4 linked regions of the Pelodiscus sinensis genome follow. The protein of the gene in region 4 binds, or shares a complex with, the protein of the main gene of each other region. Links are inferred from orthologs where the notes say so. Each region holds a gene or a part of one and is shown on either strand. Other genes may lie near its edges.

Evidence for each region.
Region 1: SPTSSA (region 4) and SPTLC3 share a complex: the UniProt entries of both Homo sapiens proteins name them as parts of the serine palmitoyltransferase (SPT) complex. The link is inferred for Pelodiscus sinensis from reciprocal best matches to the Homo sapiens genes SPTSSA and SPTLC3.
Region 2: SPTSSA (region 4) and SPTLC1 share a complex: the UniProt entries of both Homo sapiens proteins name them as parts of the serine palmitoyltransferase (SPT) complex. The link is inferred for Pelodiscus sinensis from reciprocal best matches to the Homo sapiens genes SPTSSA and SPTLC1.
Region 3: the proteins of SPTSSA (region 4) and SPTLC2 are in contact, whole or in part, in a cryo-EM structure (PDB 7K0K), measured with the Homo sapiens proteins. The link is inferred for Pelodiscus sinensis from reciprocal best matches to the Homo sapiens genes SPTSSA and SPTLC2. Residues at the interface, in NP_612145.2 of Homo sapiens: Trp15, Tyr18, Gln19, Leu21, Leu22, Val23, Thr24, Ala25, Tyr27, Met28, Leu29, Glu30, Pro31, Trp32, Glu33, Val36, Phe37; in NP_004854.1 of Homo sapiens: Leu73, Gly77, Val80, Leu81, Phe84, Leu87, Arg88, Leu91, Leu126, Arg129, Ile130, Tyr156, Met475, Pro476, Ala477, Lys478, Gly480, Ala481, Arg484, Glu485, Asp533, Leu534, Leu535, Gln536.

What each region holds. Positions count from the first base shown.
Region 1 is NC_134713.1:188,490,067-188,497,115, forward strand, and holds the start of SPTLC3 (serine palmitoyltransferase 3), read right to left. Parts: upstream 3,001-7,049; 5' UTR 2,715-3,000; coding exon 2,604-2,714; intron 1-2,603. UniProt on the Homo sapiens protein: Component of the serine palmitoyltransferase multisubunit enzyme (SPT) that catalyzes the initial and rate-limiting step in sphingolipid biosynthesis by condensing L-serine and activated acyl-CoA (most commonly palmitoyl-CoA) to form long-chain bases.
Region 2 is NC_134716.1:49,114,020-49,121,650, reverse strand, and holds the start of SPTLC1 (serine palmitoyltransferase 1), read left to right. Parts: upstream 1-4,625; 5' UTR 4,626-4,640; coding exon 4,641-4,874; intron 4,875-7,631. UniProt on the Homo sapiens protein: Component of the serine palmitoyltransferase multisubunit enzyme (SPT) that catalyzes the initial and rate-limiting step in sphingolipid biosynthesis by condensing L-serine and activated acyl-CoA (most commonly palmitoyl-CoA) to form long-chain bases.
Region 3 is NC_134714.1:41,663,626-41,671,073, reverse strand, and holds the start of SPTLC2 (serine palmitoyltransferase 2), read right to left. Parts: upstream 3,008-7,448; 5' UTR 2,899-3,007; coding exon 2,773-2,898; intron 1,920-2,772; exon of another isoform or gene 1,557-1,919; intron 1-1,556. UniProt on the Homo sapiens protein: Component of the serine palmitoyltransferase multisubunit enzyme (SPT) that catalyzes the initial and rate-limiting step in sphingolipid biosynthesis by condensing L-serine and activated acyl-CoA (most commonly palmitoyl-CoA) to form long-chain bases.
Region 4 is NC_134714.1:48,626,282-48,634,085, reverse strand, and holds the start of SPTSSA (serine palmitoyltransferase small subunit A), read right to left. Parts: upstream 3,010-7,804; 5' UTR 2,904-3,009; coding exon 2,801-2,903; intron 1-2,800. UniProt on the Homo sapiens protein: Component of the serine palmitoyltransferase multisubunit enzyme (SPT) that catalyzes the initial and rate-limiting step in sphingolipid biosynthesis by condensing L-serine and activated acyl-CoA (most commonly palmitoyl-CoA) to form long-chain bases.

The sequences.
Region 1 (7,049 bases), on a different chromosome or scaffold from region 4:
ATAATGATTCTGTCCCACCCATGACCCATTTAAAACTGATAGTATTAGAACGCCGTCTCTTCACAGCAGCAGTGGCAGCCCCAGTGGTGCTGAGATGGGCACTTTGAATGGCTGCAGCCCTCAGAAACATTCACCAGTTGGTGGTGGAGCAACGGAAAATCCAGCCAGGACCTGACCCCAGGTTGGTTGGCTACAAGTGCAACAGGGATCTACCTCACTGGTGGTTTCTTGCTGGAGTGGAGCATCCGTCAAGGAAGGGTCAAATTTATCATCAGCAGAGGAAGCATTCCAGTGCTGGGTGGCTGTGGTGTCCCAGGACATGGTCCGAGAACTACAGCAACTGTGAGGTCCAACAGAACAAGAAACAGGAGGCCCAGGAAACCAAGAGGCAGAACCAGTGGCAGCCCTCTGTCAACTCAATCCCCCCCCAACAAAAAACACCCCGCACTCTCAAGCCTCCTCAACAGCAAAATGACTGACTAACCTCGCCATTTGGTATTTAAGGGTAATAATCCCCAACTTTTACAGATACATCAGATAACCAGACCGCCATGGCCCAGTGATTGTTTTGTTACTGTCACCCCAAGGACGTGCTTTTCCAGTTTTCTGGCTATATTCCTATTACAGGTTGGACCTCCCTTGTCCAGCACCCTCGGGTCCTAACCGGTCCTGAATGAGGGGATTTGACGGGCCAGGGAGGATCCTCCCAACATGGCCTGGGCTGTCCTGCTGCCCCTGGCTAGGGCTCCAGCCTAGCCGCATTGCTGCCTGGCCAGCTGTGGCTGCCTCTGGAATCAGAGCTCAACGGCTGGGGCCAGAGCTCTGGCATGGTTGGAGCCGCTGCTGTCCCCGAGCTCCACAACCAGGGCCAGAGTTCCGTGGCTGCCACTGCCCAGCCCCCATGACACCAGGCAGCAGGGGATAGAGCTCCCCACTGTGCCACCTGCCCTTCCTCACCCTGCCCCATAGCTCCTGGCTAAGTGTTTGGGCCCTCCCCCCGCTGCTCCTGCCCCACAGCCTGACCTCCCTATACCTGGGCTCTGTGGTCCAGGAACATTTGTGGTCCAGCAGGACCATGGCTGTTGCCAGTCGAGAGAGTCCCGGTTAAGGGAGGTAAACCTGTATTAATAGGTGTCAACTCTTTTTACGCCTCTGAATTTGCTTCTGTCACATTTTCTCATTCTTTGTCCAGCCACTTAACTACTTCTGGGGAGTGAGTCGCACCGCTCAGAATTTGCTCTCAATGCAAATAACACATTACATTAGAAATTGAAACAGGATTAGTTTTTAAAACAATATAATTGAAATTCACATTTGATTCACAGGAGCAAATTCCAAGAAATGGCTTTCCCTGTCATTGCACAAGTTTTTTTTCCTCTTTCACACTTGGGTTGGGCCAGCAACCAAGAGCCACTCATACTGGGGCCAGCACCCACTCACTTTTACATTGGGTGTGTGACTTAATGAGGATGATAAATGCATGAGCGTCTCATTGTGAAAAGACTTCTGTCTTAAGTTTCTTGATTTTCATGCATCTGAGACTGGCAATTTGGGTACTGTCATTGCCTAAAGCATTAGGCACAGGCCAAATTAGGAAAAAAAATACACCAGATACGCAATCAGACACAAGATTGTGTTGCTTACTGCTCCACTTCCCAAAGCACAACATTTAGCTCTTAAACTTTTTTCTATTCCCAACTGAAACTGGAGCTCAAATATGATATAGCCATCAATAGAGTCTCAAACCCAGCACAGTGTTGGTTTGAAGACCCAGTACATGTAGGATAACGATAGGCTCCACCCACAGACATCTTTTAAAGCTTAGTTCATGCAACCTGTTTAACAAGAGAACACCTGTGATTTTGACGTACCATCTGGGGGAAACCATGCACCTCTCATTAGGTGCCGGGAGGCACTCATGCAAATGAAAGGCTGTGGTTTCAAAGAGGCAAGTCACACATCAACATGTTGAAAGAATGGTCTGTGGACTAATTTGATTTTTAAGAACTACTAGCACTGTAAAATCAGTGTAAATAAAAAAAGATCAATTGTTAAGCCAGCTAAGCATACCTTGGTAAGATACACAGAATGCTAGGCATACACCAGTATAATCCCCAGGAAAATCAAGCTACAGACAACTACAAAAGCCACCTCTCTCCTTCCTCATTTTTCCTTCCTTATTTCTAAGTCACATGTGTGCAGTGTCAAATCATCATAAAAACACTCTACAAAAACTTTCTAAGAGGCTAAGCCAAGTTGTCAAACCAATACCAGCAAAATGATCAGGAAAGCTTTAGGGAACCTCAGCTGGAAGGTGTGTGTAGGATTTCTCTATTTCTAATATGAAATACCAACGTCTAGTTACATACAAGGCTTTCCTTGATAGTGCTTCTGCACCCATAACACTTCAGCCAACGATGCAGAGAATACAGGATTAGATCCTACGTGGGTAAAACTTAACAGAAAAACCAATACTATGCCACCCATTTGATGAAAAACGAAGACAGATTTTTACAAAGCTAGCTTATTACATACATTTGTAACTGCTCGTCTCAATGATTTCAGAGCTCAGGCAATGAAGGAAGAGGTTAGTTAAATCTTACCTTGACTTCTTTAGCAATCCCGTTTTTCTTATAGATTCCACTTATTAAGAGTTTATTCCGTTTCTGGTGAGAATGGAGATGTCCATTGCCGACTGCATTGGGGTTAGCCATTTGTTTAAATGATTAAGGATTCTCAGGTCTTAAAAATGTCTCAGGTGTTTCTACTTTTAAAAGGCAGAGGGATGAGATGATAAAGTTCTGAGTTGAGGCTTGAAAGGTATCCAACTGGTCTGTCTGGCTTTTCCAGGAAAGGAGGGACTATCTTTGTGCAAGATCAAAAACCAAACTGTTACCTTTATACTGTGTGAGCCCGAGTGAGGTAGAATGGCAGGTACATGTTAACAGGTCTGCTTTTAAAAAACTATGAAGTGTGCAGCTCACGCTGGTTACTGTATGAACACGGCACCTGAGTCAACAAGATTACTGCCGCTAGAAAGAAAGTGGGCGGATTCCAAGGTGGAGACGGTTAAAGATACACTGCCTCCTAAATAACTCCCCAGTACCAAACTTTTGTCCCTTGACACCACTTGGACGAGAGATAGATTATTATTCTGTTTGTGTGGATTACTAAAAGGCTGAAAGTTTAAAAAGTTTTAAAAAAAACCCACACAATTTTAAGGTTGCACTAAGACTTTTTACACTGGAACAAGCATGCTACCTTTTTCTTAAAACAAATACGATAGAAAATTTAAGAATATTAAGAAGGCAGTAATAGTTTCTAATGGAAAGCTATATATTTTGAATTTATACAAATCTTGATATCAGCCACCATTCGTATTGAAATAGGCCCAGTAACCAAAATCAGCAGAGATTTCTTTGGCCTTGATCCTGCAAACACTTATGCTATTTATCTACTACTGTTGAGTTGTCCTTTTGAAATCAAGGGAACTACTTACAGTAGTAAAGATAAGCAAATGCAGAGTGTTAGCATATGTGGGCCTCTATTAGAGGTTAGCACTTCCTTTTTTATATCTTCATGACCTAGATATTCTGATTCAAGTCCCTAGTCTTTATTCAGGAAAAATTTTGATGTAGTGAGACCTTTCTGGTATGGACTATTGTTATGTAGCACTGTGAGCCTAGGTCTCAGGTGCATTATTTTAGCCAACAATGGAATTAAACGGACTGCTATGCAATCAAATGACAAATAAATATTAAACAGTTTGTTACAGGTGGGCTTGAGCGGGTCTTATTTTTAAATGTAAGCCCCAAAACATTTATGCCTGTAAGCAGTAAATGGAATTCCTTATGTGCAGGCTTTCAGGATTGGGGCCTTTTGACTTTAAAGGGCACACTTGTGCTTAATGTCAAGCATGTGTCTTTGCAGAATCCGGGTCCTGTAGATTTTACTTACCCAGGTTTTCAAGATGCTTTTTTCCTATTAAGGGTTGCTTATCAGTTTGATTTTAGGAAGAGATCTTTATTGTATCTATGTCCTAACAACTAAAACTGCAACTTGGAGGATCTTAATTTTTCTGACTAAAGGAAAACTGCTTTATAATCTACATTTTGAAGTAAAGTTGGGTGAGGCTTTAATCTGCAAAAATGAGTGAAGTGTTTAAATAAAAAGTATAAAAGAAAATTGCTCTCTTGCCAGCAAATTATAGGTTGCAATATAGAAAATGAAACTCAGTATTTGACTCAAACACACAAAGGAAACTTTTCAAATTACCAGCATTTAAATGTTGAATTAACCAGATTTTAAATCTGGATTAGAAATTGTTTTTGCCAAATCTGAAATCTCTTGCCATGGTAATGTACTGAAATAAAACTGTATTTCCTCTCTGTCTGTCTGTCTCTTTTTAGAGAAGACTTGCAAAACAAAATAATTTAAAGGGGCTGAAACTGATTTTCTTCCAAATATATATATATATATATATATATATATATATATATATATATATATATATATATATATAATAAAGGTCTGAAAATGTGTTTTTTTCTTTTAGAAGTATCAGAAATGTCAAATCATCTCTTCCCTTATTTATTTAGTGTTGGAGGACTCAGAAGTGTGTATTTTAGAGTTTTTCTAGCTTTGAGTTGATTGATAGAAAGTGTTGTTGAATAATTTACAAAGATAATTTTTTTTTTCAAGGGTATTGTTGTTTTTTGTAAATTCCTAAATTTGCCCCCTAAAATTCGCTTCTCCCTTCAATGAAACAACTTGTACTTCTTGGTATGTCAGTATCCTCCAACTTCTCTAATTGTCCATAAAGTCTTCCAAGGTATTCAAAAGCTGTACAAAGATAAAAACCTTTTCAGGCCCTTTTAATTTATCAGAAAGGCAGCATAACAAACCACACTGCCAATTCAACCAATCCGCTTCTACACAAGTCTGAGGCCTGATTTTATCTTTTTTTAGTCCTTTGTGAGTAACCTTTGACCTACCTTCTCAGTATCAGTAAGATGTTAGCAGCCTTTTGTTGATGAAGATGACAGATTCACTCATTGTTATGGAGATACCAAAACAATGACAAGAGTTATTAAAAACTATATTGAAAATGTAATCACACAGTGAGTTGGTGTTAGGGTTAGAATTCAGGAGTTCCTGGCCTTTGACTCTTGCTCAGCCTACTAGACAACACTGCCTCATTTGTATATTAATCACAGTCTTTGCTAGACTCCATTAAGCCATTCAGTGACTGTGTGATGGGTTAGTTATTATGAGTGGGAAGTAATAGGCAAATAATGAAGGTTAGTTACAGTAAGGGATCGGGAGATGATAGTTGGGAAATAGATCTAGGTAAGGACAGACAGAAAGTAGGTGGGGTGAATGCCTAGTAATAGTGGTATCCTGTGGTTTGTTGGCATCACTAATGGAACGCTTATAAAATTAGGGATGACAAGAATGAATTCTATCTGGTCTCTCTGCACCTAACACACCTACCCAAAAAAGGCATGATGACCATTTCTTCATATTGGACTTATTCTTATGGTTTCTCAGTCTCCCAGTAAAGATGCTCTGTGAAAATGACTGACCACCTTCCGGTAAGAAACTATGCTATTTTTGGACACATCTTAGTAGCAGAAAGAAAGTGATTCAAGTATTCCTGAGCTTGCATATGCTGTTCTACTTTATGCTGGATCTAATACTCCTTATTTCTGTAGTTTTTGGGATGTAGGGCAGTAAGTGCCATGATTAGTTCATTCTCTCTCTTATCTCTGCCCCATGGGAGGGATGGATTTCCCCTTGAGATCTAAACTCCACTTTTAATCCTGAGTTGTAGGGTCTGTCCCTCAAAGATTTTTAGACTCCTAACTTCTATTGAAATCAACCTCTGAGGACCTGGGCCTAGTCCATGTTACCCATATGAGGGGCCTCAAAATGAGCCCAATATATCCCGTGAATTCTCAAGTAAAAATAAATAAGCTCCCTATATTAACTCCAGTGAATAATTCTGAGAAAAGGCAGAATGTTCAATTCATATTTCTGTACTATGTTTAGGAAAAAACAGATGACCTGGCTTCATCATATGGTGATGCTAATCTTTCTATTCCATTCTATAGTGTCCCTGGAAGTTGTTAAACAGAATCTACTAAATTTAGACATTTTTAAATTAGAAGGTCCACATAACTTGCATCCAAGAGTTTTAAAAGAGCTGGCTAAGGCACTTGATGAACTCTGAACCTTGATTTTTCAATAAGCTTATGCTGTGCCAATTTTTAAAAAGAGAAAATGGGATGGTATGAGTAATTATAGGTCTATCAGCTTGACATTGATCATGAGCAAGATATTGGAGCATCTGGGACTTGACTAATGCAGAATTAAAAAGAGGGTAAGGTAATTAATGCACATCACTAAGGGCTTATGGAAAATAGATCCTATAAAACTAACTGGATCTCTTTCTGAAGAAATTACAGATTTGGCCGATAAAGGTAATCGTGTTAATGTAAGGCTTTTGACTTGGTACCATGGAACATTCTGATTAAAAAACTAGAATGCTATAAAATGAACATGGCACACATTAAATGGATTAAAAACTGGCTAACTAGTAGCTCTCAAAATGTACCTGTAAATGTAGAGCAATAGGCAGTAATCTACATTAACAACAATCTGGTTACCATCTAGGGACCCAGTCCTGCAACAAACACTAAGGTTGTGTCTATGCAGAAAAGAAAAAAAGAAGACCCAGAGTATTGAGGAGAAGAGTCCCAGTCAGTTGTGACTTGGTCTTGCAGGGCTCAAAATAGCAATGCAGACTCATACTGGAACCCAGGCCCATTAGAATTGATGCTGGAGAGTGCTCCAACTGGTTCTGAAGGCCAGCAGGGGCAAGAGGTGGTGTGTCATCTGGGCAGCGCTGGGGGCTGGCTGCCCAGCTCTGCCCTTTCCGGATGAGGCCCCACCCCTTCTAGGAGTTTGGAGCCGCTCCCTCCCTAAATTATCCAAGGACTCAGCAATCCTGTCGGCTCCCTTGGATGAAATACATTACTAAGGAGCCC
Region 2 (7,631 bases), on a different chromosome or scaffold from region 4:
TAAAAAAGAGATAGACAGTAATTCAGAAAATATCGTAATGCCACTTTAGAAATCCATGATACACCCATACCTTGAATGAGATATGCAGTGCTTGTTGCCCCCATTTCAAAAAATATAATAGAACTGGAAAAGGTACAGAGAAGTGCAAAAAATGAGTAAGGATATGGATGAGATTTTGGGTGTCTCCCCCCACAGGGCTTAACTTGAAATAAGTTTCGCAAATTGAGCTATGTCAATTGCATAGCTTATTTTGAAATAGCTTATTTCAAAATTGGGAGAATCTACACAGCACTTATTTTGAAATAGAGTACTCTTCCTCCGACTTCCCTAACTCCTTGTACAATGAGGGTGACAGGAGTCGGAGTAAGAAGTCCTCCAGTTTGACAGTATTTCACAATTATTTTGAAATAACTTCCTACTGTGTAGACATGGACTAAGTTATTTGATAACGCTAGTTATTTCAAAATAATGTTGCTGTGTAGACATACCTTCTGTATGATGACCGGGACTGTTCATCTTTGAAAAGATACAATTAAAGAAAGATATGAAATTATGAACGGCATGGAGAAAATGAATATGCAAGTGGTATTTACCCCTTCACATAACATAAGAATCAGGGATGACCAAATGAAATTAATAGGCAGCAGGTTTGAAACAAACATAAGGAAATACTTCTTCATACAATGCAGTCAACCTGTAGATTTTATTGCCAGGGATGCTGTTAAAGTCAAAAGTATAATTGGGTTAAAAAAAGAATTAGATAAGTTCACAAAGGATAGGTCCATCAATGACTATTAGGCAATATGATCAGGGATGCAGCCATAGGCTCCAGGTGACCTTAAACCTCTGATTGCAAGAAGCTGGGACTGGATGACAGGGGTTGGATCACTCATTAATTGTCCTGTTCTGTTCATTCCCTCTGAAGCATCTGGCACTAAGGATATTAAATTGAGGTTATCTGGCTAATTGTGTAGTTGATACATATTGTATCGATTACGTGATGTGTCGATAAGGACCGCTCTGCAGAGCCACAGTGGGGGTAGCTCCAGGAGCCAGCTTGAGCTGGAATTGAGCAGTCCTGGCTCATGCCGGCTCCGGGAGCCACCAGCACTATGGCTCTGCACTTGAAATGTAGAGGTGCAGCATCCCAGATCAATGCGAGATTTGTTGTTGCTTTGCAGCAACCTCCCCTATCCTTCCTCAGACCTCTCCTCTCTCCCCGCTGGCTGTAATAGAGGCAGCAGGAGGCAGACAGAGCGGTACTGCAGAGACAGTGCTGGGGCGAAACCAACTTTTAAGCCAGCTCCCGCAACCACAAGGTCCTGTCTCCCCCACCTTGTTGCCTCTCTGTGAGCAAACTTAGGAGGACTGGCCATGTCATCAGAATGGAAGACCACTGTCTCCCAAAACAGATATTGTATGGGCAGCTGAATCTGGACAAATGAAAGGTTTTCCATATAAGCTCTTCAAAGATAATCTGAAGAGCAACGTGACACTCTATATAACTCGGGGGGGCACCTTGTATCCCCCCCTTATTCCCTATTTTGTATATAATTGCGATCTTGCATATAAAGCATGCCATGTACAATATTAGGGGAAAATTCATGAACAGCTGAAACCCATTGTTTTATCTAAATATATGTCTCTTTAGTAAAAGCAATAAGGAATCCAGTGGCACCTTAAAGACTAACAATTTTATTAGGGCATAAGGTTTTGTGAGTTGCAACTCACTGTGTCAGATACATGAAGTGAAAGAATCAGATGGTAGGGATACAGATTCTTTCACTTCATGCATGTGACAAAGTGAGTTGCAACTCATGAAAGCTTAAGCCCTAGTAAAATTGTTAATCTTTAAGTTGCCACTGGATTCCTTGTTGTTTTTGCTGAAACAGACTAACACAGCTACCTCTCTGAAACAAATCTTTGGTGCATATGAAGTTAGGAGATTGTGTTATATGATTGTCACTAAAATGTGCTATAAGTTGGGGAACCTGCCATATATTAGATCTTCAGAGACAACAGCAATTAAAGTAACCAACAATTGGGCAGGTGTCAGAACAGCCATTGAGGGAGCTACAATGTGATGACCAGTCTCCACCCCACCCCTTATGGAGCACGCGGTGTGGCACTCTAATGGCAATTCTAAAAGGCCCAGGAGTCCAGCAACTGCTGCTGCCACAGTAGCAGTGGTGGCAGCCACAAGCCCTGGGCCCTTGAGAATCACCAGGCCCTGGGGCAATTGTCCTCTTCACTCCCTCTGTTGATGAGCCTGGTGGAGTCATATCCATAGCATTCTATGAGAATTGCAACAATATTGTCATCATCATCAGTGATGGATTACCAATGTCATAGCAAATGTGGCATAACAGAACGCAACATATGTATCATTAACATTTTCATGTACAATTAAATCATTCTGCTACTTAGAACTGATTAAGTTGTGATAGAGAGACGTTGCAGTTTGAAGAGGGCCAAGGTTTATGGGAAGGGTGATGAGAGACGGTAAATAAATTTGGTTTTGTAAGTGCTTGTCAAGAAACATCTGGCACATTTATCAAACTGTGAAAAACAGAAATGAAAAGATTCTGCACAGTGTCCTTTTAGCCTTTCTGCCAAATACATTTACTCAAGAACAGTGTTCCCTCTAAGATTTTCCATCCATGAGCAGAGTGAGCTTTGTCAGCTGCACCAACAAGGTCATATGCACTTGTTCAGATGTGTGCCACTGTGGCAACCAATGGCGCTGTTCCCCAAGACTCTCTCCCAGGTAGTGCACCCCTGCCACGTGACCCTACCAGGCGCTGGCCGCTGGAGCACCCCAGACCCCCCACCATGCCGCCCCGGTTCTGGCCCCAATAGGGCCATCAGAACATCTGCCAGACCAGTTCTCTACCACATGGCTCCAGTTCTGGCCCCAGCTGCAGCTGCTGGAGCAGCCACTGCGTGCCTGTGACCCAGCTCTGGCCCTGGCCCCAGCTGGGACTGCTGAAGGAGCAACTGCCAGTCACCCGCCATGCAGCTCTGGCTCTAGCCCCAGATGCTGGAGTAGCTGCCACCCACCACGTGTCTCGCAGCTCCAGCTCTGGGGCCAGGCCTGCATGGTAGCTGCCCTACTGCTCCTTGGGCAGGGCAGCCTCACACCCCAGAACAGTTGAGCAGCCACTGTGCAGCTTTGGTGAGGAGGTGGGCGGGGCTCAAATTATTGGTGTGTTCCTGTGCAGGTGGCACCTTTGGGGGAACAATGCTCAATAACCAGTCATATAATTTTATATAACTTTTCTTGGAAGTTTAGTAATTACCCAATGTGTTCTAAATAAAAGAATTTTGTGACAATGAACAAAACTAATCCTAGAAACTGTTTTCAAGTATTTGCCCCAACGCCATGAAAAAGAAAGAAATAGTGTTCAGCGGGGCACAACTAGGTGGCTTGCAGGACATGGCACACGTTGCAGGCCTACGGCCACAGGGGGACCCAAATCCAGAGGTGAAAAGCAGCATGCCCCGGTGCAGGGCTCTGGCAAAAAGAAGGTGGGGCACTTGGCTGCAGAGGCTCCCAACCAGCTCCTGGAGCTCTCCTCCAGGATGCTTTGATAAGAAGCAGGCAACCAGACAGGTGAAAGGATCTGGCTGAAGGTGTGTGTCCCTCCTCCCCTGTTGATGGCTGCCCCAACTCCTAGACTTGACCTGCAGCCTTTAGAGGGGGGTTGCAGCTGCATGCACCTGGAACTCTGCTGCTTTTCTTCTTCCCCTATCAAGGAGAAAGTGTGCAGCTTGTGTGCCCAGATTCCTGCACTTCCTACATCCCCCCTGCCCTTATTCCTGAATGCCCCAAAACTTTCCTGCTCTGAGGACTCTCTCCTGCTTTACTCTAATCCTCTGCTTTGATCCTCTGACACTTAAATTTCTTACAGGTACTGTTGTATTGAACGCCGCCTCCCAACACTCTGCCCTCAACTTTTCCCTCCTCCCATGGTGCAATGCGTACTTAAGCATGGCTATCTCTTTGCTCTAGTTCTGGGATCAGGACAGTTGTGTTTTCTTCTTTCAATGCATAATATTTTCCCTCATCTCTGCTCTTCGTGTCTCTCCTGCACGTTGTCCTGTCACTGATTGGCAGCAGTAGCCCTGCTCGTACCCCTGTTCTGTCTTACACGCAGAGCTTCGTTATCCCCCTCTCTCACGCACGGGACACAGACTAAGGGACAGACCAGTGTTAACCATAAGGAGGAAGTTGGTTTATTGTAGACATTCAGTCACGAGGTTATTTAAATGAAAGAGGTGTATTGTGATGTGTCAGGGACTACGCAGAACTAGCGACACGCACGTAAAGCGGATCCAGCAGGGACTCGAGCCCCCTATTACAAACGAGGACAATGTATATTCCTCACAGCTCTTGACACCCGCCCTCGGCAGAAATTTGCACCGCTAGGACCCTGGGTCACGGCCCGGGTGCCCCCAGTGAAGGCGGGGCCGCTGCTCGCGCAGGTAAAGGCAGCAAACGCGGCCAGTTGCCGGCCCTGCCCAGTGCGCAAGAGGCGCTGCGCAGGCCTGTCGGCGAGCACGGAGGAGGCCAGGGGCCGATTTATGCCCGTGGGGCGCGCCGAGCGCAGCGGCGCTAGGACCCGCGCGCGCAGCGGCCAATGGCCCCGCCCCGCCTTCCCCTCCCCAGGTCCTTGCTTAACGACACGCGGGTTTCGGGGGCGCGGCGGGGAAGGGCGTGGTCACGGCTCAGTGACGTATCAGCGTCTCCCCCGGTTCTGCCTGCGCCGGCTGACGTCAGTGCGCGCCGCGGCCTGGAAGCGGCGCAGGCGATGGCGGCGGCGGGGACGGGGCAGCAGTGGGTGCTGGTGGAGATGGTTCAGGCCTTCTATGAGGTGAGACTCCCGCCCTGGGGAGCGGGCGCTGGTGGCACCGGCGGGGGCGCTGCTTTGGCCGAGAGCGCAGTAGCTCCCCGCCCCCCTGCTTCCTGGGGGGTGGGCAGGTCCTCTTAAGTTGCGCGGGTCTGGCAGCGGGGCACGCTGGGGGAGGGGCATGGAGGGTGGTGGTTGGGGCCCGGCTCAGGAATCTCCTTGGCGCTGGGGCATGGTGGGTTCGTGTAACTGATCTTAGGATCCTAGACCGCTAGAACTGGAAGGGATCTGGAGAGTCCAGTCCCCTGCCCTCATGGCAGGACCTGGTGCCATCTAGACCCTCCCTGATAGACCTTTATCTAACCTGCTCTTAAATATCTCCAGAGATGGGGATTCCACACCCTCCCGAGGCAACTTATTCCAGTGTTTAACCACCCTGACAGTTAAGAAGTTTTTCCTAATGTCCAACCTAAGCCTTCCTTGCTGCAGTTTAAGCCCACTGCTTCTTGTCCTATCCTCAGAGGCCAAGGAGAACAATTTTTCTCCCTTCTCCTTGTGACACCCTTTTAGATACCAAAGACCCTATCATGTCCCCTCTCAGTCTTCTCCTTTCCAAACTAAACAAGCCCAGTTCTTTCAGTCTTCCTTCATGGGTCATGCTTTTTAGATCTTCAATCATTCTTGTGCTCCTCTTTGGACCTTCTCCAATTTCTCCACAACTTTCTTGAAATATGGTGCCCAGAACTGGACACAGTACTCCACTTGAGGCCTAATCAGCGCATCTACTCTGATTAGGCTTCAAGTGGAAGAATGAGTACTCGTATTTTACTCACAACACTCCTGTTAATGCATCCCAGAATTATGATTGGTTTTTTTGCAACAGTCACACTGTTGACTCATATTTAGCTTGTGGTCCACTCTAGCCCTTAGATCCCTTTCTTCAGTATTCCTTCCTAGACAGTCGCTTCCCATTCTGTATGTGTGAGACTGATTGTTCCTTCCTAAGTGGAGTACTTTGCATTTGTCTATATGAAACTTCATCCAATTTACTTCAGACCATTTCTCCAATTTGTCCAGCTCATTTTGAGTTATCCTCCAAAGTAGTTGCAACCCTGCAAACTTAATAAGCATGCTCTCTATCCCAATATCTAAATCGTTGATGAAGATATTGACTAGAACCGGTCCAAAACAGACCCCTGCAGAACCCCACTTGTTATGCCCTTCCAGCAGGATCGTGAACTGTTAATAACTACTGTGAGAGTGATTATTCAGCCAGTTATGCACCCATCTTATAGTAGCCCCATCTAAGTTTTATTTGCCCAGTTTATTGATAAGCAGGGCTCAACAAATAATGCAAGCTACTCGCCTGTGGTGAGTAGATTGCAACCTGGAAGAGCCGGGTTTGGGCGATCTGTGCATGCGCAGAAGGATCTGCACATTCACAGATCACCGGACAGCGTGGCTGGCAAGCGGGGCTCGCTGTGGTTCAGCGAGCCCTATTGATAAGAATATCATGTGAGACTGTATCAAGTGCCTTACTAGAGTCTAGGTATACCATATCCACTGCTTCTCCCTTATCCACAAGACTTCTTATCCTGTCAAAGAAAGCTATCAGATTGGTTTGAAATGATTTGTTTTTTATAAATCCATGCTGGTTGTTCCCTATCACCTTATTATCTTCCAGGTATTTGCAGATAAATTCCTTAGTAACTTACTCCATTATCTTTCCTGGCACAGAAATTTAACTGACTGATCTGTAGTTTCCTGGTCTGTTCTTCTCTTTTTATAGATGGGCACTATATTTGCCCTTTTCCAGCCTTCTGGAATTTCCCCTGTCTTCCATGATTTTTCAAAGATAACTAAAAGCTCAGATCTCTATCAGTTCTTTGAGTATTCTAGGATGCATTTTATCAGGCCCTAGTGACTTGCAGACATCTAACTTTTCTAAGTGATTTTTAACTTGTTCTTTTTTTATTATTATTATCTTCTAAACCTACCTCTTCCCCACTAGCATTCACTGTTAGGCATTCCTTCATCATCAGACTTCTTGGTAAAGACGAAACAAAGAAGTAATTAACCTCTTCCATTTCCAAGTTTCTTGTTACTGTTTCTCCCTCCTCACTGAGCAGTGGGACTACCCTGTCCTTGGTCTTCCTCTTGCTTCCAATATATTTATAGAATCTTGTCTTGTTTCTCTTTGTCTGTAGTTAGTTTGAGCTTGTTTTGTATCTTTGCTTTTCTAATCTTTTCCCTGCATACCTGCATTGTTTATATTCATCCTTTGTAATTTGTCCTAGTTTCCACTCTGACTCCTTTTTTATTTTTAGATCATGCAAAATCTCCTGGTTAAGTCAAGGTGACCTTTTGCCGTACTTCCTGTCTTTCCTATGCAGCGGAATAGCTTGTTTTTGGGCCCTTAATAATGTCCCTTTGAAAAACTGGCAACTCTTGTCAGTTGTTTTTCCCTTTAGTCTTGCTTCTCATGGCTCTACCAGCTCTCTGAGCTTACCAAAATCTGCCTTCCTGAAATCCATTGCTTTGCCCACAGGGAATTGGGCAGTGAACCAGTCTAAGGGTGCGATAGCTGGCGATCAGTGCCCTGGCTCACTTCTTGGAGATGTAAGCAGGGCTCAGAGAAGAACAAATTGAATGAGTAGTGGCTTGGAGATACACTAACAGTAGATCAGGAATGCCCTGATCCAAGTACAAGGTGACATTCAGCCAAATTAAAAAGCAAGAAATTTGCAACTAATAAAAGGACTTCTTGTCTTATTAGCAATA
Region 3 (7,448 bases), about 7.0 Mb from region 4:
AGGTAACACCATGTGGAGTCTGGGATCTGGCCCCAGGCTTCAAGCGGCGCTGCCACTTTGAAGTATCACATCCTTCCCCTCCCTCGCTGCCTCTTTCTAATGGGTATGCCATGGTGGCGTTTCAAAGGGGCAGCACCACACAGCTGATTGCCCCGGCTCAGTTGTGTGGCACTGTCCCTTTGAAATGCTGCCTCAGCATCTCAAAGCAGCTGACCCCAGGCTCCATGCAGCACTGCCCTGCTGGGAACCTCCTCCACCAATGACAGCAGCCACTGGACCTGGCAGGAGCCATGACTGAGCAAGGCTGACTCAGTCTCCACTCACCGTGGGTCCAAGAACTAGCTCTGCAGCAGGCTGCCTGCAGACCTGGCTCTTACTACATTTAAACTGCAGAGCCACAGCAGAGGTAGCTCCTTCTAAGAACCTTCTCTTACTGACTAATCATGTAGATGATACTGTGAAGAGTTACAAAGGGATCTCACAAAACTGTGTGACTGGACAAGAAAATGGGAGATAAAATTCAATGCTGATAAATGCAAAATAACGTCCACTGCAAAGCAAAATCCCAACTATACATATAAATGATGTGGTCTAAATTAACTGCTGACACTCAAGAAAGATCTTGGAATCATCATGTACAGGTCTGTGAAAACATCTAATCAATGTGCAGTGGTAGTCAAAAAAAAGCTAACAGAGTTAGGAATCATTATGAAAGGAATAGACACTAAGTGTGTGTCTACACTGCACCCTTAGCTCAAAAGAAGATATGTAATTTGTGCTACACAAATTGCGTATCTTATTTCAATTGTATTTCTAAATAGGTTATTGCGAAACTTGGCACATCTATACAGTGCCAAATTTTGAAATAACACACTATTTCGAGACATCCCTTATGGAACGAGGTTTACAGGGATGCCAAAATAGCAGGTCCACTATATTTCACAAGAGGGGACGTGTTCAAAAGATGCAAAGTAGGTATTTTGGGATACCTCTGGTATCCCAAAATAGCCTTGCACTGTAGACGTACCTTAAGATAGAAAATATAATGCCGCTGTGTAAATCCATAGTACACCCACACCTTGAATACTGAGTGCAATTCTGGTCCCACTATCTCAAAAGAGAGTATTTGAATTGGAAAAAAACCCTACAGAGAAGGGAAACAAAAGTGATTAGCGCAATGGTGTGCTGCATGTGGCCCATCAGGGTTCTTATGTGGCCCACAAGACTTTATGTTTACCATTGCACATGCACAGAATTGCCAAGTTCTGATGATTTCTGTCTGGGTAGTTCCCCCCCCCCCCCAGTATTTCTAAAGCATCAAGCATTTAAAGCAAGGGCATTTAAAATAAGGTGCATACGGATTGCACACATTAACCATGAAACCCCTGGGCTCCCTCTGCATCCAATGTAAGTGGTGCTATGGTTCAATTGGCATATCCTGCAAATTCTAGATATGCAAGCTCAGTTAGCAAAATTACCCTTTTTCAGAAGACAGACTTGATTACCACAATCTTACAGCCCACTGAGATGGCTATTCATGCAGCCCACTAACTAACCTCGGTTGCCTATCTCTGGATTAAGAGACTGTTCAGCTCAGAAGATACAACTGGTGAGGATACTGCAAAGATCTGTAAAATCAAGAATGGAGTGGAGAAAGTGTGTCAGTGTAACCACCTGCTGGCAGATTATTTGAACCTGGGACCGCTGGAGATTAGTATAGGAACCTCTACATCTTGAGCTATAAAGTCAGCTCTCAGCTTAGGCTGTAGAGCTCACACATTCTTTTCACTCTGCTGTTAAGTGGTCTAAGTGTCACTACATAGGACAGTGAACCACACCCACTAGATGTGTGGGTTACATAAGGAAGTATAATTTACCTCTTCATGTCACACAAACCAAGGATATTCCAATTAAATTAATAAGCAGCAGTTTTAAAAGAAAAGGAACAACTTCTACACACTAAGCAGTCAACTTCTGGAACTCACTGCCAGGGAATGTTGAGAAGGCAAAAATTATAACTGGGTTTAAAAAAGAATTAAGTATATCCCAAAGAATAGATCCATCAATGACTTTTAGCAGAGATGACAACCCAATAAGGGGCTCCGAGTATCCTTAAACTACTGACTGCCTGAAGCTGGAACTAAATATAGGGGATGGATTAGTTCTTAAATGCTTTATTCCATTAATTCCCCTTGAAAGACAGGACACTAGGTTAGATGGAGCATTGGGCTGAGTGAGAGGGCCATTCTGGCGCTGTCTGCAGTCTCCTCCCCAGCCCACCCTAGACAAACACACACCCTACAGCACTGTCCCTCTCGCCGGCAAGGCTGAGCAGCCTCGAGCCACCTGAAGGGTGACAGAAGAAACTGGTTCGGTCCCTTGCAGCCCCGCCCCGTGAGGCGGGCGAGCAGCCGCTTCACTGGTGCCAGGGCCGGCGGGGCAGCCAGCGCCTCAGGCCAGGTCCCATGCGCGCAGCCACACCTAGTAGCGGCATCCACAAGGCCGAGTCTCGCCCAGGCCAAGGCGGGCCCGAGCGACCCCTGGCAGCCGGCACCATTCGCTGCAGAGCCCGCGAGCGGCGAAGCCTAGCGGGGCGCGGCCCGTTTGCCTGCTTACGGCGCCGGGAGGCCCAAGAGCCCCGACCCGGGCCGGGCTCCGCTGGCCCCCAGCCACCCCTGAGGCAGCAGAGCTGGTACCCCGCGCCCGCTCCCGCAGGGGAGCCCCGGGGCCGGCCGCCCCTTCGCACCGCGCCCGGCTGCCCCGACCCCACACCTGGGTCTCGGCCCCGGGCAGGCCCCGCACGTATCCGTTCCGCAGAGCCCCGTGTTCCGTCAGGCTGCAGCCGTTGGCGCGGAAGTGGGAGCAGGGCTCCCCGGCGCGCTGCTCCGGCCGCTCCATCGCTCCGGCTCCGCCGCCCCCGCACCCCTGCCCGGCAGCGGAAACTCAGCCTGACGCGGTGGCCAATCACACGCGTTTACGTCAAGCGGGGGCAGGGCCCACACCCAATGCCTCTGCGCTTCCGTGACACAGAGGGCAAGGGCCAAGGAAAAAGGGGCGTGGCCAAAAGGAGAGCGGCCCCATGACAGGACCGTGTGCCAGGAGGGGCGGGTCACCAAGATACCCTATCCCAGCGCACAAATATTCTGGCCCGGAGAGGCCCAGCACAGAACCAGGGTGCCCGAAGAGAAGACCATAAAATACCCAATCACAGGGCAGCGAATCGGGAGGAAGGCGGGATCTAGAGGTAGGCCCTGACCAATGACAGGCTAGAAGAGCCGGTGGGCGGATGGGTTTTAGCCAGTGGCAGGCAAGGCGGGTTCGCTGAAGGAGAGTGGCGAAGTGCCTGGGGCGGGGCGGGGCCGTTCATGCACTAGCTCCGCTGGCCCCCCACGGCCGGCCTTTGTGTTGCATCCTAGCTGGCTCCTGGTAGAACCCCTGCAAACAGCAGCCCAGAAGAAATTTATTCTTTGGGACCTGCGGTTGTACATTAAGTTGTGAACGTGTTTAAATTCTTTGTCCACATGAAGCTTGTTGAAAAACCTACCTGTTGATATGTTTGTAAAGAGTTTCAAAGTTGGTTAGAAGTTCTAGTATAATAGTCCTGTATTTTGCTTCAGCTACACCAGACTAACACGGCTACATTTCTATTACTAGTCTAATCAAGACCTTGTGACTGAATGTAGAAAATATATATCAATATTGGCCAAATTAGAGTACAGGAAATATGGTATTTGAGGGAATAAATCTAATAATCCAATCAGAAGTTGGGGGTCACCAAGCTTAATAGAAATTACTCTGTAGAAAAAGTGATCTGCAAAGTGTCAGCACTTGTGCTCACCCTTTATTGTTTCTTAAAGAACAGAGAAGGCATAAACATGGCATTTTTTATGTGTAATTTTACATTTGGGTTTGGGTCTTCAGTTTTGCTGGAGGACACACTGGGATAATAGTGTCCAGTATCAGAGGGGTAGCTGTGTTAGTCTGAATCTGCAAAAGCGATGAGGAGTCCTGTGACACCTTATAGACTAACAGTTATTGGAGCGTAAGCTTTCATGGGTAAAGACCCACTTCATCAGACGCATTTGGGATAATGGGTGGGAAAATGATATCTTAAGCTAAAACCTGATCTGTGATTCTTCTGCCCTTAGTTGAGAGGGGAAGGGCTATGCTATTTAAAAATGTTTAGGTCATTTTCTGCTTTCAGTCACGGGGGTATAAATCTAGAATAATTTCATGGAAGGCAAACAAGTTATTCCAAGTTTGCGCACACGTATTTGAGAGCAGAAGCTATCTCCTTTGTAATTTCTTAAAATTGTTAGTGTTGCAGCCAAAGGTTACTCTGCCTCAGTTTTCCTTTTTGGATTCCTTGTCACTCCACATCATAATCCAAAAGATAATTAAAATACTGACCTTCTGAGGTCCACTTTATTGAGCCCTTTCACACATTAGTCCTCTGAGTCCCTCTTTCCTGAGCTAAGTCACAGTGAGTTCCATCTCTCTGTCTCTCCAATCAGGAGTTTAGCCTTCCAAGCTCCAACTTCAATTCACTGGGGGTATGTCTACACTAGCCCCCTAGTTCGAATTAGGGAGGCTAAAGTAGGTATTCAATGTTGCAAATGAAGCCCGGGATTTAAATATCCCAGGCTTTATTTGCATCTTTCCATCCGGGCGCCATTTTTAAATCCCCCTAGTCCGAACTAACTGCCCGCAGCTACACGCGGCAGTCAAACGTTAACTCGAACTAAGTCCTTAGTTTGAGTTAACTGTTATACCTCGTGTAATGAGGGCTTATTTAAATCCCGGTCTTTATTTGCAACTTCGAATGCCTACATTAGTCTCCCTAATTTGAACTAGGGGGCTAGTGTAGACATACCCTGGCGCTTTTCTCTTAAACAGAGAGTCCTTCTTCCCCAGCTGAGTCAGAGTTCCTTTATGCTGCAGGGCCTTCCCTTCTAAGAAGACTGATTAGGTCTGTCACGTTACTGGATTTTAGGGGAGCAGCCAGATCACTGTTGCACCCGTGGGGGGGAGGGGGTTGCCCCAAAAAGTGGTACAAAAGGAGTCATGTGAGGTGTCAAATGAAAGCTTATCTTATACTGATTCTATATATGCTATTCATGTGATTGTATAATGTCTGTGTGAGAAGTTGTAAGCATGTACTTTGTGTGTTTCTCTGTATATGGTTGAGCAATGGGCAAGGAAGCTCAGCCTATGGACATGCTAATGAGCAAGTCTCCATGGAACAATAGCCCGTTATAGGCCAAGGATACACCTCAAGAATGGTGACTGATACCTAAGGGCTACCAGCAGGGAACACAGGGATAGGCCTCTGGCCAGGTAACCTGCTGCAGCCAAGAAGAGACGAGGAAGGAGGTATATAGGGGCTATGTGGCATCCTCCATGGGGTCTTCAGATCTGCTCTTGACCCCAGATGCAGCCTTGCAGGGAATCACGAGCCGGGAAGAACTGTAGATCCATCGTGACATAGGATGTACACCAAGGACTTTTAAGCCAGCAGTTATAACATCTCTGCTACAAGCCTGCATCGAGACCTGGGAGAGTCGATGCATGTAATGCATGATACTTTAACAACCTTACTCTCATGCTTTCTTTTCTTTTAGTAATAAACCTTTAGATTCTAAATAATTGGTTCAGCATGATCTTGTGAGTAAGGTCCAGAGTGCAAGTAGACCTGGAATCTGTGGCTGTTTTCTTGGAACCGGACAGAACTTGTTTGGAGAAGGTGAGATTGGGTTCTAAAACCCCTCACCTGTGTATGAGGCCCGGCGCCATCTGGGGCATGGATATTGCTGGAGTGTCAGAGGGGTTTTGTTCGTGAGGCTTCTGGCTGGCCAGGCAGGCAGCTAAAGCACTCTGTGGGTCTGGTTTGTGGCCTGTTTGGGAAGATCTCCAGTCTGGGGGCTATAGAGAGCCCTGAATTTGAGCAATTCGCCCTGAGCAGATGCCTTTGGCTGTGCCCAGACCCGGCCCAGTCCGTCACAAGGTCACTTGACCCCAGGGCAAACAATAGACTTATCAGGACCCTGGGCAAGATAAGGGGGGCACTGTGCCCCTGGAAAAGGTAGGGCCTCAAGCAGAGAGGCAAAGAGGGACTTGCCTCCCCCCAGCCAGCCCTTCAGTAATGGCAGTCATGAACCCTGGGCCCTTTTAAATCACTAAGCCCCTGGGCAGCTGCCCACTTTTCCCTCTCCCCATTGGTATGCATAACCTACTAGCCACATAACCTTCATTTTCTCCCACTGGAGAAATAACTGGCACTTCTCATAGTTGAACTGAGGCCTATCACTCCTTAAGAAGTGCCACACTATCACATAATTAATAATTGTTCATTACATTCAGATTTGGTAACCTATGGCTTATGAGCCAAATATGGCTCGCAACTTGAGCTCAGTTCCCCCTGCTTTCCCCCCGGCAATGGGGAGCCCGTGCTGGCAGTCTAACCTTGCACTCCTTGCGAGATTGGAGTCAGTGCCAGCTTGCTGCGGGGAGGGATGGGAGGGCAGGCTGGCTGGAGAAAGCCCTGAGCCTCACTGTGTGATTGGGGAAGAAGCAGAACCACTCACGGCTCTGCGCACTCCCACTCCTGCAGCTGGGGGAACAGCAGCACCCAGATGTGCTGCCTGGAGGCTTCTCCCACTGCCTGAGAACAGCACAAGTCACAAAAGCAAGTGCCACCCAGATCTTGCACCCCTGCCTCATCATCTACTCCTGCACACACCCCGGTCAGACAGCACACTGCTTCTCACACAGATCCTATCATCCCACTCACTGGCAGCGCTGTTCAACAGAGTGGACCCCTCATTTTGGCCCCACCCCAGAGCCTAGGGGAAGGCCACAAAATCTGAGTGAGGTATCTCAGTTGAGGGCCACATTAGTGAGGGAGGGAAGTTTTTGGAAGGGTTGTTTTTTTGCTTCTCATTTGTGTGGTCCCTGACTGATTTTTCTGTGGGTGATAGACCTGGAAGGGACTTTGAGTCCAGTCCCCTGCCCTCACTGCACACCCAAGTACCATTCCTGACAGATGTGCCCCAAATCCCTAAATGGTCTCCTCAAGGATTGAGCTTATAACCCTAGGTTTAGGGGACCAATGCTCAAACCACTGAGCTATCCCTCCCCCTGCTGTAAATAAAGACAATGTTCAAACCTTTTGTGTTGAACATAATATTTTACTTTATTTAAAATTAAGTTTAGTAAACTGACATGAGAAAGTAAAAGTACCCAGCCCCATTTAGCTGCAGCATCCTGTCTCCCGCCCCAATCCTGGAACAGGCCTGCAGTCTGGCCCACATTTGGCTGCAGGAAGGGCTGGCGGTGGTAGCCCCTCTCCTGCTACAGCACAGGTAGGAGGGGAGGCCACAATCCAGCTGTGGTGATCCTGGCCCAGCCCCTCGTCCAGCTACTGCTGCCTGGGTGTAGCAGCTCGGGCC
Region 4 (7,804 bases):
CGCCTAGTCACTTACATTCCTAGTACACACAGTAGGGATGTTAGATATCAGATAATTGAATAGCTGCATAACTATATGTAATCTTAGTGGTTACACCACTATATGATAGTTCCCAGAAGTGGGACTGGCAGCCAGTGCTCTCCCAGCCCCACTCCCAGGGAGCCCTCAGACTACCCCACACTGCCTCTATCAGAGGTAGCAGCGTGAGGTGATAGCAGCCCCTGTCCAAAGCAGATATGAGCTCCCCACAGACAGAGGCTGCTCCATGGGATGTGGAGCAGCCTCTGACAGTGGTGAGCTCGGACCCTCAATGGGCAGGGGCTGCTGCCACAAAGCAGCCGCTGCCCACAGCAAGCCAAGGCTCACCGCAGACAGAGGCTGCTCCGTGGGATACAAAGCATCCTCTATCCACAGGGCTTGCCTTCAACAGAGGCTGCTTCATGGCAGCCTCTCCTGCTGTCCCTTCTAACAGAAGCAGGAGCATGGGACGGGGGGCAGGTGGTACCACAGAGCCAGTGCTAGGGGGAACTAGATTTTAAGCCAACTCTCCCCAGCACCAGCTCTCCTCTTTGCTGTCTCGGATACTGAGGCAGCAAGGGGGGGGGGGAGAAATGCATGTAGTCAACAAGATTAACAGATAAGCCTAGGCTTATCAATTAATCGTATAGTCACCTACACGTTGATATCCCTAATACTCAGCAATTACTTCAATACAATAAAAAAATCCTGAAAATATCTGTCAAATCAATTTTAAATGCTACTTGCAGGAACTAGTGTTTCAGTTTGTAAACAAAATATGGACAAATACACACACCCTTCAGTTACTTATGTTTTGTCAGAATCAGAAGATTGCTTAACTGATAATGAAGTCAATGTTCAAGCCTAATTACTCTGACAAATCATAACACTCCTGAAGTATAGAAAATAAAGATCTTTCTTCACTGATACTGGACCTGGCATAAATGGAGCCAGGAATTATTACAAAAGTATAGACTACCTAACTTGAGAAATTCAACATACTACATGAATGTACATGAACATGAATGTTCAAGTCCATTCATTTGTTCTGTATGCTTTCCATTTTTTACCATTACTGTAGAAAAAAAATTACCTGAAGCTCAAATAGTCCATATAGTAATAGAGATGTAGCTGTGTTTACTAACAGCAGATATTTTCTTTACAACAGACCATTACCCCAACAAGGACATCATTATTGTTACTACCACCCTATTCTCTTTGTTATCGGTTACATTAATTTATTTCTTCTCCTGTCAGTGCTCCTTGCAAGTACTTTTAAAGGTCATCTGCAAATATGGCTGCAAATATGAGGTATTGTTTTAACAGATCAAATTATCACATTCAGAATAGAAAGGCACTGGAGAGTCAAACCCCGAAGACATTATCTTATAGAAACAACTACTCAATTAAACAATTTTCTAGATATAGGTCTCTACATTGAACCTTCATATTAGCAGTCTATTTTGTAGTGAAATACATAAAACGGGCAAATTCAGCAGCTACAGGGTCAGTAAACTAAAGACCAAGCAAAATGGAAACCTAGAGTTGCATGACTATGCAACATATATAAGTTACTTTGCTTGTTACATGAAATACACGTTTTCCTTTCAAGTGTGCAAAATATGAAGAAATACATGAAGTACTTTTGGCTAATAAAAACATTAATTCCTCAGGTTAACACACAGAAAAAAATCGCATAATAAAAAAAAATGAAAGGAGAAATTGCATCAAGACAAAAACCCATCTCTGACTCAAATGAATTAAACTGCTAAATGGATAGAAGAGGTATAAATCCAAAAAGAGGCCTGTGAAAGTTTAAGCTAGACAGATACTGGATACACCTTACTTCTTTCTAAAAGATACTCTGTTGCTTGCTCTCACAGCTGGCAGCACTTGTTAGTCTGTTGTAACAATACAGATAGTGAATATGAATGTGATTTTAACAAGCAAAGAGCGAACATATTCCTCACACATGGGCCAAAAGAAATAGTACCACATTAACCATTATACACTTTGCACCACTGACACGTTCAAAAACTAGTGTAGTTATAACGGCAACTATCTGACATGATTAAATCATCAACTCATACAGACCAAGAGAACTCTTGAGTTTTTAAACTACCAGCATACAGGGGGGTTAGCCAGTGTAGCTATGTGAACAAGGGCCTACCACCTCCCAAAAATCACTTAAAGGCATAAACCATACACCTGCCAAGAGTGTGTTATCGGGCCCATTTTACAGACAGGAAGGGGCACACCAGGCACTCAACATCAGAGAAGTGCTCCAAGGCATTCAGAGCACCTGGGAACACAGAATCAAACCCAGACCTCCCAAGTCACAGCCCGGTGCCTTGACCTCACAGCATTCTTCGGACGCGGGCTGCAGGGACAGCAGAGCAGCCTGCGCAGGGAAGAGGCCAGACCCACCTATTGCCACCCGCAAGCACCTCTCGCAGCTTGGCTGAGGCCGAGCCACACCCCGCGGCGCTCCCACCGCTGAGTGCGCAGAGAAGCACGCGAAGGCTCACAGCTTGGACAGCAGCAGAGCAGCCACTCGGGTCCAGCTCCCGCCCGAAGCGGAGCAGCAGGCCCTAGACAAGCCACTGCTGCGCCCCGAGCCCGCCCCCTCCCCACGCGGGGCCATCACCCCTCCCCCGCACCTCCGCCTCACTCCCCTTAGAGGCCAGCCACGTGCTACGCCCCCTCCCCGGCCGGCTCACTATCCTCCGGCGCGCGCTGCCGCTCAGTTAACGGAACCCAGGCCCGGGCCGCGGAAGGATACTGAAGACCGTCCGCTCCCAGGGCTCCAGCATGTAGAGCGCGGTGACGAGCAGATACTGGTAATAGAGCCACGACACCCGCCCCCAGGCCGAGCCTAGCGCCATTGCCGGACCTGTCTGCGTGCGGCGTGCGAGGCCCCGCAACCTGACTGAGCCCGCTCTGAGTAGGCGGGGAACGTCTCCCACCTGCGCCCCAGGCTACTCTCATGGTACTGAGCATGCGCTTGTGAACTGAGCATGCTCAGTAACAGCTGTTCGGAACGGCCCCCTTGTGGGGTGACCACGTGCGCCCTGCTTCTGACTGGCTTGCTGCGCAGCCAGAGGGGCGGGGGTGACAGTTACCCAATGGGGATGAGCCCTCTGCTGCGGCTGGAAAAAAAAAAAAGCAATGGGGGCGGAGGAGATCCCCGCTCTCGCATCTCATCACGTGCTTCCCAGGACTGTGCCCTTAAGGGTACAGTGCACAGCAGAGGAACTGGTGCCTCCAATGGAGCTGTTAAAACAGGTTTGAGTCAGTGAAGTATTCTACATACGATAACTGTCAATGTTTAAAAGACTCTCTCGCGCATGTATTTATATGCCCCTCTAACACCTCATAGCTGCAGCAGGGAACATATTTGGCTTGTCTTTTGTTCAGATTGTTGGACTGGACTGCAGTTTTCTTGCAATGCACTGTTAAATGGCGTTTTGCTCCTTTATTTACTTTTTGAAAGCATATTTTTATTACTCTTAACACTTCATTCACTGTTACCATTGCGCAGATGAACGTCAATAGATATTTTTAATAGCAATCATTGGAAATTTAACAGTCGTTAGTAGCTTCCACAATCACATCTGACGAAGTGGGTCTTTGCCCACGAAAGCTTACACTCCAATAAATCTGTTAGTCTATAAGGTGCCACAGGACTTCTCGTTGTTCTCACATATCACAGTAATTCTGCACCTCTTGTTTGTATTGAAATATTAGGTTATTTACATTTTGGTTCTTTTTCATCTTTTATGTAAAGGTTTATTTTTTTGGATCACATGATTTCAAAGCTGACAGATGGTTTGATGTCAAAACTTCAGTTTTCTTTGAGCCTAAGTTTTCTTTGAGCACTAGGAGCCTATAATTTTGCCTCCTAGAGCATACAAGTCACCTCAAACAACTGCAACTCAAAGTTTTGACCCTAGTTAGTAAACAAGGAGTGAGGCATACCATATTGGTACACAAATTAAAATGTATCATTAAAAATTGTATTTCTTGGTAGGGTAGTATACCCTGGCCAGCATACTCTGCTGAGTGATAAGGTGTAGTCCTTGGCTCCTTTCTATGGGTTCATTGTACAGCTCATGTCCCATGATGGGGCCATCAAGCAAGCCCAGTGCTGATGCCAGTCTGCCTGGGTGCAGAAATACAGCACAAGTTTGGAAAATAGATATACTATACATATCTATAAGTCCTGTTTGTACAAAGAGGTACAAACATACAAATGAAATTGACAGGAAAGCTGGCTCCTAGCTCCCTAGACAGACTGCTGCTAGATCTCTGCTCCAAGTTGGGCTCCTATCCCGGCTCCCATGCAGGCTCCCCACTCCTAACAGAGAGCTCTGCTGCCTGAGTTCCTGGCTCCTCACTCCTCACCAGCATCACAGCTGTCAACTGGACTCTAGGTGCAGATCTTCCTACCAAAAGGGAGAAGCCCCTAGTGGCTCCTGGCTAGGAATCAGGAGGTGAAAAGCCATGTGGTGTTGCCCCCTGGTGACAGCAGGAAAGCAAGAAGCCCAGGCAGCCGAACTCCTGATCTGCTCTTCAGTTGATGGAAGAATCACTGGTGGAGATGCACACTACCAACAGGTGGGTAACGTGTACCTCAGTCACCACAATATAATTAATGCAGTAGCTGTAAATTGACGTAACATAGGTCGATTTAAGATTACAGTGTGGACATAGCCTTCATCTCATGCACATATTTTACATTGTTTACCACTGAGATGGATTTGGGTTTTACTTTTAGTTTTCACTGTTAAACTTGAGACATTTTTGGCAAAAGTCTACATATTCTGCATTGAGAGGACAGCAATTACTAGAATAGAATTACCCTGCTTAAGATGTTCAACTGCTCCTCTGCCAGCAAGATTTACTCTTCCCTCTGAGACTCAAACTGTCATAATCCTTTTCCAGCTGGAATTCTGCTACTATAATCAATCAGTGTTGCTATTTGACAAAGTAGATTTCTAACACTTCAAGACTACTAGAAAATGCTGAATTTTACTGGAAACTGCCAAATGATTGCTGCTGTGTGCATTTCACAAAAAGCTTGCAACATTAAACATCTTTGCATTCCAGTAAATAGAGGCCATATTTGCACCATCATCTCTTGAAAGAAGTTTCCCTAAAATTCATAGGATAAAAGGGTGAAACTTGTGCTAAATTATTTTCCCTTAAGGTTGAATAAATTATTTCATTTTTTATAAATGAAAAGTTTATTTACAAAATAGAAAGTAAGTCTACAGTACAAAAAACTCATTTCTAATCTGACTGAATAGCTTCATATATAGAGATACCTCTATGAACAATGTGAAGTCAAACCATAGGATTTTATTTATTTTAGCAGTAGCTGGAGTTGTAATACATAGTACAATTTGATGTGGAACACCATTTGATATTTTAATATTATGAAGATAATGCAATTACACAACACTATATTTTAACTAGTTACTTTGTCACTCATGGCAGTCTGCATATTCAAATACAGCTGGACTTTGAACATAGCTGTAAAGTTAATTTCTTTTAACTGCCATTTGTCAACATATTTACACTTCTAACATTAATTCCCACCCCCCTTTAGACTGTGTTTTACAGAACTAAAACTCCAAGATGTGCTTCTTTGCACATAGGCCCTACTGTCTCAAAATACATATGCTCCTTTAGAAAGAATTTGGGTGACAGAATTCTTCCCTCACCATACCCATTACCCTAGCCCAGAAATAGTTTTGAAGAACACATGAGCCTTGCATTGTGAATTGAAGTTGAACAGATTGAGTCTCTGGTGAACTAATGGGGAAAGAGAATTCTGTAGCCAATGATACCTCTCTGAAAATGGCCTGACTGAGCCCCTTCATGATTAACCAAGGAATTGTGAGTTTGAGAGCCTCAGATAATCTCAGTTGGCATGGTATTACAAAGGGGGGGGACCAGCGAAAACCTGAGGTAACCAGGCCTGACCCAATAAAAGACCTAGTTTAAACCAGCATCTTATAATACTCCCAGCAGTATTACCTTCTGGACCATCTGAAGTATGAGTGATCGAGAGGCAAGGTAGGTGAGGTAATATCTTTTATTGGACCAACTTCAGTTGGTGACACAAGCTTTCAAGATCTGTATAAGCTCAAAATCTTGTGTCTCTCACCAACAAAAAAGAGACCAACAGAAGATGGCCCAATAAAATATAACATCTCACCAATGTTCCCACTATTTTTTCCAGCTGTGTGGAATAATTTTTGTTATATGCACCAAAGCATATGCAGATGTGCATCACAAGTAGAAACACATGCTCTTGTCAGTGGGTACTCTGCTAATCAGCTGGGCAGCATTTGAATCTCTCCTGGTTAGCAACCCAAGTGCACAGCTTACAGGAAACACTGCATCTGATCCACCTTGCTTCTCTAATATTCTAGTTTAGCTGTTTAATTCTGTGCAAAGCTCATTGCAGTAATACCAAAATGATAAAGCCATGGATCACTGTGGCAAGATCCACATCTGAAACAAACAGCAGCTGCCTTTTGGACAAGCATAGGTAATACTCTAGGTCAAAATCAGCAGAGGATCCATAAGAACTGTCTAAGGGAGCTCTTTTAAGTGTCAGTCACATGTCTTCACCACAGTTTCCCTTCCAGTTTCTTTCCAGGTTTGTACAGTTGCTGAGGCAGTGTGAAAATAACACACACTTTTTGGTAACCTCTCTGTATTAAAGTAGTCCATTTTGACCTTCAAGCTCTGTAGTTTGTTAGCCATTTCCTTGGCCAACAATTCCTTTGCCCTATTGGGCAGGGATAACAATGGGGCAGAGTAGTGAGGGTGAAAAGAAATCCTGAGACTCAGCCCCTGGATAAATGCATGTGTAACTCACACGCCAATGTCACTCTGCTCATGTGTGCCTGTGTCTCTTCCCTCTCTGACTATCTTCATCTTGTCCTGCTCTTCATCTTGAACCTGTCTCCACTCCTCCACCCTTGTAGCTTGTTTCCCAGCTTTCTGTCTGTCACCCTGGAAAGACCAAATTAGGACTTAACTCCATGCCAGTCACTTCAAATTCTGCTCCAGGCTCACCTTATGGAGTTCTAGCAGAGACATGATTTCTGTCCAGAACTACATTTCCTAGAAATTCTCTTTATGAGAGGGCCAAATCCCCACCACCAGTTGGGCTCATGGCACCCATTCTTAAGAGGGCCAGAATGCCCCAATACAAAATTCCAGATTTCTTCATCAAATAAAATAAACGAACATAAATATTGTATGGCTATACTAGTGTTTCTCAAACACGTTGTGGGCCCCAGGGAAATGACTAAAGGCAATGTAAGAGGCTGTAGCATTGAAAATGTGATTCATCTAATACAAAGAAAATCTCAATCCCTGTCCACATTTATCCTTCAAAGTCAAATATTCTGTTAACTTCTCAAAATACATATATTAATTATAAAGGCTTATAATTCAAGCTTTTTTCTCTCACTTTCATAAGTAAACATAAATAGGCAATGAAAATATTTTACTCTCAGTGAGTCACCAATCTGAAAACTTTGAGAAATACCGATAACAATGGCAACAGAAAAAATGCTATTAGGTAATCAAAAGCAAGAGGTTAGCTTCTGGGAGTCTGCTTTGTCAAGTAGACTAACCATTAACTTGACAGTGACTTTGTATTCTGTTTGACAAAAAGTCCAAACTACCCTATAAAAAGCCATTAGTTGCTTCCATAAAATAATTATCAGTCTCCTAAACAAAGAGGAAAAAACAAACAAGCTAT